Rattus norvegicus: one gene and its partner. The protein of the gene in region 1 binds, or shares a complex with, the protein of each later gene. Links are inferred from orthologs where the notes say so. Each region holds a gene or a part of one and is shown on either strand. Other genes may lie near its edges.

Region 1 (4,282 bases):
ATAAGAACTCTTAATTTGAAGTGGTGATTAAAACAGGTATCTGGCAGTCAGAATGTCCTGAGTTGTTCCCCAAGATGGCCAAGCCACTCAAAGGGTTTGCTAGGAGAACAACTTGCTCCCTGTATGATGGCAACCTTCACAGTCTGAGGAAACCTATGCAGCAACATGGTAGGTTGGAGCGCTGGGCAGGGAATCTCTGGAAGCAGCTAAAAGTGATTGATTAGCCAGGCTGCATCTGTATGGTAAGAGAAGAGAAACATGAAGCTGCCTGCCTGACACATAGCCCGGCGCTTTTTATCCTTCTTAAATTAATTGGGCTTTATTTACATAACGCTGATTTCTCAGCACATGCTCTTGCCACTCAAGATCTTTTGTTGTTGTGTTTTTGTTTAGATAGGGGCTCACTGTGTAATCCAGGCTGGCTCCTTCTGCCTGAGCCTTCTGGGTGCTGAGATGTTGGGCGTACACAGCCAGACCTGGCCCATTTGAGATCTTGCTTGTAGAGTTTGTAATCCATAAGGGAGGTGAGATCTGCAGGGACCTGGGATGTGAGGCTCACTTCAGTGAGTTGCAAGTCTTTCCTTTTAGAATAAAAAATATACACAGTGTGAGTGGGACAGCTTTGTCAACCCCTCTATGGCGCCAGGACATTGCCAGAGAGGAGGCAGAATATAAAAGCCAGAAGATAGGAGTGCCTTGCTTCTGGTTATGACATGACCATGGTAATCATGTCCACACAGCAGCTGTGGCTACCTGCAGAAGACCTATATATGCACACACACAGGCACACAGGCACACAGGGACACACACACACACACACCACACATACACACAGGGACACACTCATACCACATACACAGGTGCTCATACATACATACACACACATACCACATACATATGCACACAGACAGGCACAGATGTACACACACACAAGCATCATCCCCACATACACACATCATGCACACATGTGTGTAGAAACACACCATACAGGGACATGAACACATGGACATAGGCATCACTCCTACACACACACATCATGCATACATGCACGTACATACACACACCACACAGGCATGCACATGTACACACGCATGCATGCATATACACAGGCACACACACATGCACACACATGCGCACAATGCACCCCCTATGCACACACGTGCACAGCACACACACACACACACACACACACACACACAAGCATAGGACTAGTGGGGAAGAGGATCAGCAGGGTGAGCTGGGACTAAGAGAGAGTGATGAGGGTGAATATGGCCATCACAATACATTGAATACCATTTGTAACATTGAAAAAAACAATTAAAAATAATGAAAATATAGATGCGAATTGAGCGGTGAGCTAGATGACTGAATGGAGAACTTTGATCAGGAGTTCCTGTTTCTGTTTCCACAGCCACCGCAGAAGGCATGCACATCTGGTTTGCTTTGAGCCTGACCTACTGTGCTGGCAGAAGTCCCTTGGTTGCTGTAGGAGATGCTGCGGCAGGGGATCGTGGTGCACTGTTTCTCCTGGGCACTGTCATCTTGGGTAAGCCGTGACTTTGTGTGCTGTGCGCCATTGTTTGAGCTGTTCTGAGAAGATGGCTAGTTTTCATTCAAAGGAAAGGTGGTTAAATTGGCATTGCCACAGGATGAGGAGGACGTCTGTGGAATTCCCGGTCTCTGTAGGTGGGCTGCCGTGAGGTAGGCAAGTAGGCGCAGCTTTTGTTTCTGCCGTGTACTTCGTGTCAAGGTTCTCACAGAAAGAGAAGTAAGCCTTGCTTGCGATCAACGCAGACGAGGTTGCTCAGTTTTAGCTTTCCTGTGGCTGATGGCTTGAGGCAGAATCGTGACTGTTTTGAGCTTGTGGCAGGACTCTTACCTCACTGTTTTCTCTGTGTTCTGGATAAGTCACCACGGCGGCAGCAGTTCCCTGGAGAGTTAGACTATTGTCTTCACTCATCAGCCCTGACAGAGCACAAGCCTCCAGAAAGGCAGATGCAGCCCGGATGATCACTAGGAAGATGCTGGTCTGGAGGGAAAGGAGGATGGTTCCCAAGGAACCATCCGAGTAGCATGTAGCCTAGGCTGGGCTTCAAAAGCCACGAAGCACCCTTCTACCCAATCTATATCACATGGTCCCAGAAGGAAAGTCAAGGGCACTGTATCTCAGAGTGGTCATGAGGACTCGTAAACTTAGACATTTCTGAGAGCCCAAAGGTGCACAGGAACGGGCAGGGGAGTTGAAAGGACTTAGCACCTCAGTAGAGAGAGGCAGGCTTAAGAGTGCCACACAGTTGTCTGATTCCGTAGTCTTTGCGATTACCAGGGGCAAACTGGCTAGGAGACAGTGCCCTGCTCTTCCATTGTCTTGCAATACTCTCATCTCTGAGGGCCACTGTCACATTCTGTGTGACATTCTCATTGTTGCAAGTCTCTTTTCTGGAGCTTTTCTCCCCTGTTGTAATTATACCCAGGGGGGAAAGTTCCCATTCGTTGTTAATCGTAGGAAAGGGTTTCTGGTGGTTGCACACAACCTCAGACAGATAGGGTAGATTTGCCAGGAGTTACTGGGAAGGAGCCTTGGGTTTGGGTCAGATGCTCAGCCAGCATGGGAAATGACTGGCTGTGTGGCATTACCTGAAGGAAGGGTGTCTGCTGAGCTAAGTCAGTATCCAGAAAGGGAGCGGGGTAAAGAGGAGAGTTTCACAGGCCCATCAGCAAGGCAATTCTGAATGTGTCTGTGGTGTGTGTGTGTGTGTCTGTGTGTGTATGTATGTGTGTGTGTCTGTGTGTGTCTCTGTGTGTGTGTGTCTCTGTGTGTGTGTCTGTGTGTGTGTCTCTGTGTGTGTGTGTCTGTGTGTGTGTGTCTCTGTGTGTGTGTGTGTCTGTGTGTCTGTGAGTGTGTGTGGTATGTGTGTGTGTCTCTGTGTGTATGTGTGTCTGTGTGTATGTCTGTGTGTGTATGTATGTGTGTGTATGTGTGTGTCTGTCTGTGTGTGTGTGTCTGTGTGTGTGTCTGTGTGTGTGTCTGTGAGTGTGTGTGTGGTGTGTGTGTGTCTGTGAGTGTGTGTGTGTGTGTCTGTGTCTGTCTGTGTGTGTGTCTGTGTGTCTGTGAGTGTGTGTGGTATGTGTGTGTGTATGTGTCTCTGTGTGTGTGTGTGGTGTGTGTGTGTCTGTGTGTGTATGTATGTGTGTGTGTGTCTGTGAGTGTGTGTGGTGGTGTGTATGTGTCTGTGTGTGTGTCTCTGTGTGTGTGTGTCTGTTTGTGTGTGTCTGTGTGTGTGTGTGTGTCTCTGTGTGTGTGTCTGTCTGTGTGTGTGTCTGTCTGTGTGTGTGTGTCTGTGAGTGTGTGTGTGTGTCTCTGTGTGTGTGGTGTGTGTGTGTCTGTCTGTGCGTGTGTGTCTGTGAGTGTGTGTGTGTGTGTGTGTGTGTGTGTGTGCAGTCATGTACTAAATAACATTTCCGTTGACAATGCACAGACAGGAGTCCTATAAGATTACATAACCTAGCAGCATTGTAGCCATCTTAGCTCGCATAGGTGTGCTCTGGGATGGTGATCACAGAATGGAATTTCCTGATGACACATTCGCCCTCACTAAGTGGTGTGTGTGTGTGTGTGTGTGTGTGTGTGTGTGTGTGTGTGTATAAAAAAATTTCTGAATATTTGCCACCCACCCAGGAAATTGAAACCTAACTAGAGGTTTCTTGGTAAATTCCCCAGGTGTCATCCTGAGCTTGTTTGAGAAGCTGTAAATTGAGGGTTTCCTGGTCCCCCGACCCCGATACCAGAGCTATAGTGATACATAAACACCTTCTTAGCCTCTTGGAACTTATCACCTTGGGGAGAGCAAATATTTAATCAGATGAGCAACCCAGCACATAGATGATTACTAGCTGTGACACATGCCGGAGAGATAAGTAGCACCATGAAGGTGTGTGGCTAGGCGTCCTGTCCTGGGATGGATGGCTGGGAAGAGGATTCCCTGAGAGGATGTTTCACTTGACATCTGAAAGAGGAGCCAACGGGAGTTCAGGGCACAGAGGTATGAGCCGAGGTTTGGAAGAACTTTCAATCAGTGGGAGCATATTAATCTTGCTTCTCCAAATAAAGCCTAGGGAGTCCACACACTAAAACACCAGCAACTTTGGTGGGTGTGGAGAAACCGTGATGACATAGGCTGGGCTTGAAAGATCCAGATAGCCAGAGCGCTTGGGCTTGAATTTAGACTGTGCTAACCAGCTACGTGAACATTCTTAGGCAGATCTCACCATTCACCTGTAC
Region 2 (3,647 bases), on another chromosome or scaffold:
TTGCAAAAACATCACCTAAAATAGAAGGCCAGTGTTTAGCTGCAGACTGATAAACCTGGCACTCCCACTCTGCCTGGTCAGTTCTGCTGAGGTCCACAGGCCCCGAGGCGCAGACCTCCGCGTCGCTCCTCCTCCTCTTCCTCCCCCGACCCGTGGAGCATCGAGTGTTTCACCTCTGTGTGTAGCAGAGGCAAATGCTACCGAAGCTGAAAGGTGCTTCTTTTTGTAGTGCACAAAAGGTTACTACTTTCTGTGGCTGCTGTAGTCTCTAGGTTAAATACTTAAGGAACTGATACAGACTAGTCAGCCCAGCATTCAAGAAGCTGAAGCAGGAGGATCATGATTTGAGGCCAGCCTAGGCAACGAACACACTGAGGCCCAATCTCAAAACAACAAAAGAAAAAAAGAAAGAAAAGAAATCGTGTCATCAGTGATCGTGAAAGACTTAGAAATAAAACTAGGCATTTTTAAAACACTGTCAGGTCTCCTACTCTTACAAATAATGGAATACACTTCAGACTATAAAAACAAATTCTTACATTAAGTAGGTTTTTCCATGGATTTCTTTTTGAGAGACATAAATAAATGAGACAGATACCCTACAAATAATGGTAGGAACTACAAAGTATCGTTTTCAGATGGTTCAAGAATCAACTTGGTACGTCCGTAAATTCACAAATTTCTTGACCCATGACATCATACTCAAAGTGCTATATCTTTCTCAGGATATAAGGGCATTATTGTTTAGGTGCCCTTAGAAATCAACTTGGTAAAATTTCCAGTTGGTCAATGTCATTACTCTTCAGCCTTTATTATTTACTATAACCAAAAATTCTTACGGAGCATGTTCCTTATAAATTTCTTCACGTGTGTGTGTGTGTGTGTGTGTGTGTGTGTGTGTGTTTATGTATATATGTGTATGTATGTATACATACTTACACATATATACACACACATACATATACATGGGCTACTGTTAACAAAATTTAGAATAAGTACTGATATGTCAAGAGAAGAATCGAACCATGGAAAGCGGAGAAGAGAGGTGCAGAATTCTATACTATAGACCCATCCTTGCTCTGTGCTGGGATCATCACAGGAACCGCTCCCATTCGACTTAGATTAGGGGCAGCTACCTTAGCGGGTGCCAGAGTCGGACTCTGAGGAGCACGTTCAAAGTCTTCACTGGGGACTTGGTTATACTGGGTCTTGGAATACCCTTCCATGTTGGAAGGGGACATGGACCCCAGGGAGGAATGGTTGCTGCCGATGTAGCTCCTGGCGGTGGATGTCCGACTCTTCGGAGGAGGCACATCTTCCCTGGAAAACAAAGCGCCCAGTACATGCTAAAAATGAACGCTCACCTCTAAAACCTTACAGTTATGTAAGCTACAAAGCATGGGTAAGGACAATGCAAACAGTGAGCGGAGTGAGACTTCACCTCGTTAACTGTGTGCCTGTCTCAATTCATTACCGTGGTCAGACCGTAAGGAGCAGTAATTGAGCTGTGGCTTTTGTACAAATGCATGTTTTGTAATGTATGATGAGGAAGACATTTCAGTTTCATCTCCTAGCATTGATGATTATGTTAAGCCATATCATTAATACTTAAAGCATTGACACATAAACATACCCCCAAAGGAAAGAAAGAATTCCTTTTTGCTGTAAAAGCCCTCTTAAGATGTCAGCCAAAAACTACATATTTTGTTTTCAAAACCTGAAAATTGGTGCCTGAGAATTTTCATCAAGCATGGACACAGAATATAAATAAACCTGAATAACTTTGGGTGCATCTTAAACAACAAGCGTTCAGGTCTCCAATCTCCTGACCTAACTAACAACAATTTCCAAGTTGTTAAGCTGTGTAAGTCATGTGTTCTTATTTTTTAAAGTATAACCCTAGTTAAAATCTTCCCATTTAGAATATTTGAGAAAATAAAGCTATGTCTGGTAGTGACACCCGAGACCCCACCACTTAGCAGAACTCTATGATTATGACTTCAAGGGCAGTTTGGGCAACACGGTGAGACTGTCCCAAGAAGAAAAACTAAAACTCCATTACCAGTTCCACAAACTACCCATGCCACTTAGTGACCACGAGGTCTTTTCACAGGAAACAGCAGGTCTTCCTGAGACACACACTTGGCTGTGATTCTAAAAACAGGACAAGAAACTGTGAAGGTTTCACAGTGCTGCTGGAAGTGGTCAGACATCTGAACACACATGCTTGGCGGGGATTTGAAGGGAGGAATCAAAGCGTTCACGCACTTTTCACAATACCTTAGTTCACCAGAGTGCCTCGGAACGGAGGTTCTGGGGATGGAACTGTTATACACCTGTCCAGTCTAGTTTCACTTGATTACCTGATGTCGTGATGCACTTCCTTCTCGTACTTCTCTTCTCTGCGTTTTTTATGACAGCAGAAGAGGATGGCCCCGATGAGCACAAGGGCAAGCAGCGTCCCTATGACAGCTCCCGCGATCGTTCCAGCTCTGTTGGAGGCTAGCGTGAGATTGCAACAGAATTAGAAGGAGTAAGAAAACCCACCACATGGGGGCTTAGTACTGAAAGAGTGTGTGTGTGTGTGTGTGTGTGTGTGTGTGTGTGTGTGTGTGTGTAGAAAGAGACCGACAGAATCATTGCATATATTAATTTTTAAAAGAGATCATCAAAGCTTTTGTCTAGCAAGGAAAATGTATAAAAGTTATTTTCTTTTGAATGACACATATCACCAAAATTTAAAAACTGATGGAATCTGAGTGCAACCTGTCTAGATTAGCACACAGAAATGTCATAAGCTTCATAACTTTAATGGCTAAATAGTGGACCAAAGCTGATTTGACAACTTTCATCTCCTAAGTGACGGTTTTATTGATAAAACCATCATATCTTCTCTTCTGCATGAACGAGGAAAATGAGCAAACGCCTAGAGTGTCCAATGAGGGAGAGCATCCTTGCCATCAGAGACCCTCACTGGGTATGCTGAACAAGGCCATGAGAGCTAACAGAGGTGAAGCATGTGAGAGAATGTACTTACGAGGGACAACATCTAGTCGTAGCATACACTGATCAGAGCCCACTCTGTTTTGGACTGTGCAACTGTAGGTCCCAGAATACTCAGAACTGGCATTTTTCACAGATATAACCGGTGAAGTCATTTCTATGAAAGAAAAGCAGGGGGAGAGTAGATTTGCTTTTACAGGATGGATTGCTGTCAGTTTTTAATAACACTAATTTGTGTGAAGTTTACTTCACATAAGTTTGGCAATGTAGTTAAAAGACAGATAATTCTGGGTGCAGAAAAACTGCCAGGAGCAGATGATGCACATCTCCAGAATTCATACAACCATCTTGCAGGTCCTATAAGCAAGCTTACAGTTACTATATCCCCTCGGGCACAGCCTCAGCTAAAGCAAGGTGGTTGGTCTGCTGCACAGCAGCTACAATGATCACATGAATGGTTACATTTAGCCAAGTTGTAACTTTTTAGCTCATGTCCCATTACGTAGGTTTGGTTTAAACTTACATGGGTAAGTTACTGGAACAACAGTAAGAACCCAGGCAGAACCACCATGATTACACTCTGGTACTTTCCCCACTGACTTGTGACCGTGCCTAGTTCTCAACATTACGAAAGATTTACCACA

What was found. The genes of interacting proteins can lie anywhere in the genome.
Region 2: the proteins of Jaml (region 1) and Cxadr are in contact, whole or in part, in a crystal structure (PDB 3MJ7), measured with the Mus musculus proteins. The link is inferred for Rattus norvegicus from reciprocal best matches to the Homo sapiens genes JAML and CXADR. Residues at the interface, in NP_001005421.3 of Mus musculus: Arg57, Asp59, Ala69, Tyr72, Phe75, Tyr77, Leu80, Val82, Glu120, Arg122, Ser127, Met128, Val129, Met130, Lys131; in NP_001020363.1 of Mus musculus: Thr23, Gly51, Pro52, Asp54, Glu56, Leu58, Ser60, Gln65, Ile66, Val67, Asp68, Gln69, Val70, Leu73, Tyr83, Lys121, Lys123, Lys124, Ala125, Pro126, Gly127, Val128, Asn130.

The regions. Positions count from the first base shown.
Region 1 is NC_086026.1:54,280,204-54,284,485, forward strand, and holds the start of Jaml (junctional adhesion molecule-like), read left to right. Parts: upstream 1-1,392; 5' UTR 1,393-1,546; intron 1,547-4,282. UniProt on the Homo sapiens protein: Transmembrane protein of the plasma membrane of leukocytes that control their migration and activation through interaction with CXADR, a plasma membrane receptor found on adjacent epithelial and endothelial cells.
Region 2 is NC_086029.1:30,500,727-30,504,373, reverse strand, and holds part of Cxadr (coxsackievirus and adenovirus receptor homolog isoform 1 precursor), read right to left. Parts: intron 3,161-3,647; coding exon 3,038-3,160; intron 2,503-3,037; coding exon 2,364-2,502; intron 1,321-2,363; coding exon 1,056-1,320; 3' UTR 1-1,055. UniProt on the Homo sapiens protein: Component of the epithelial apical junction complex that may function as a homophilic cell adhesion molecule and is essential for tight junction integrity.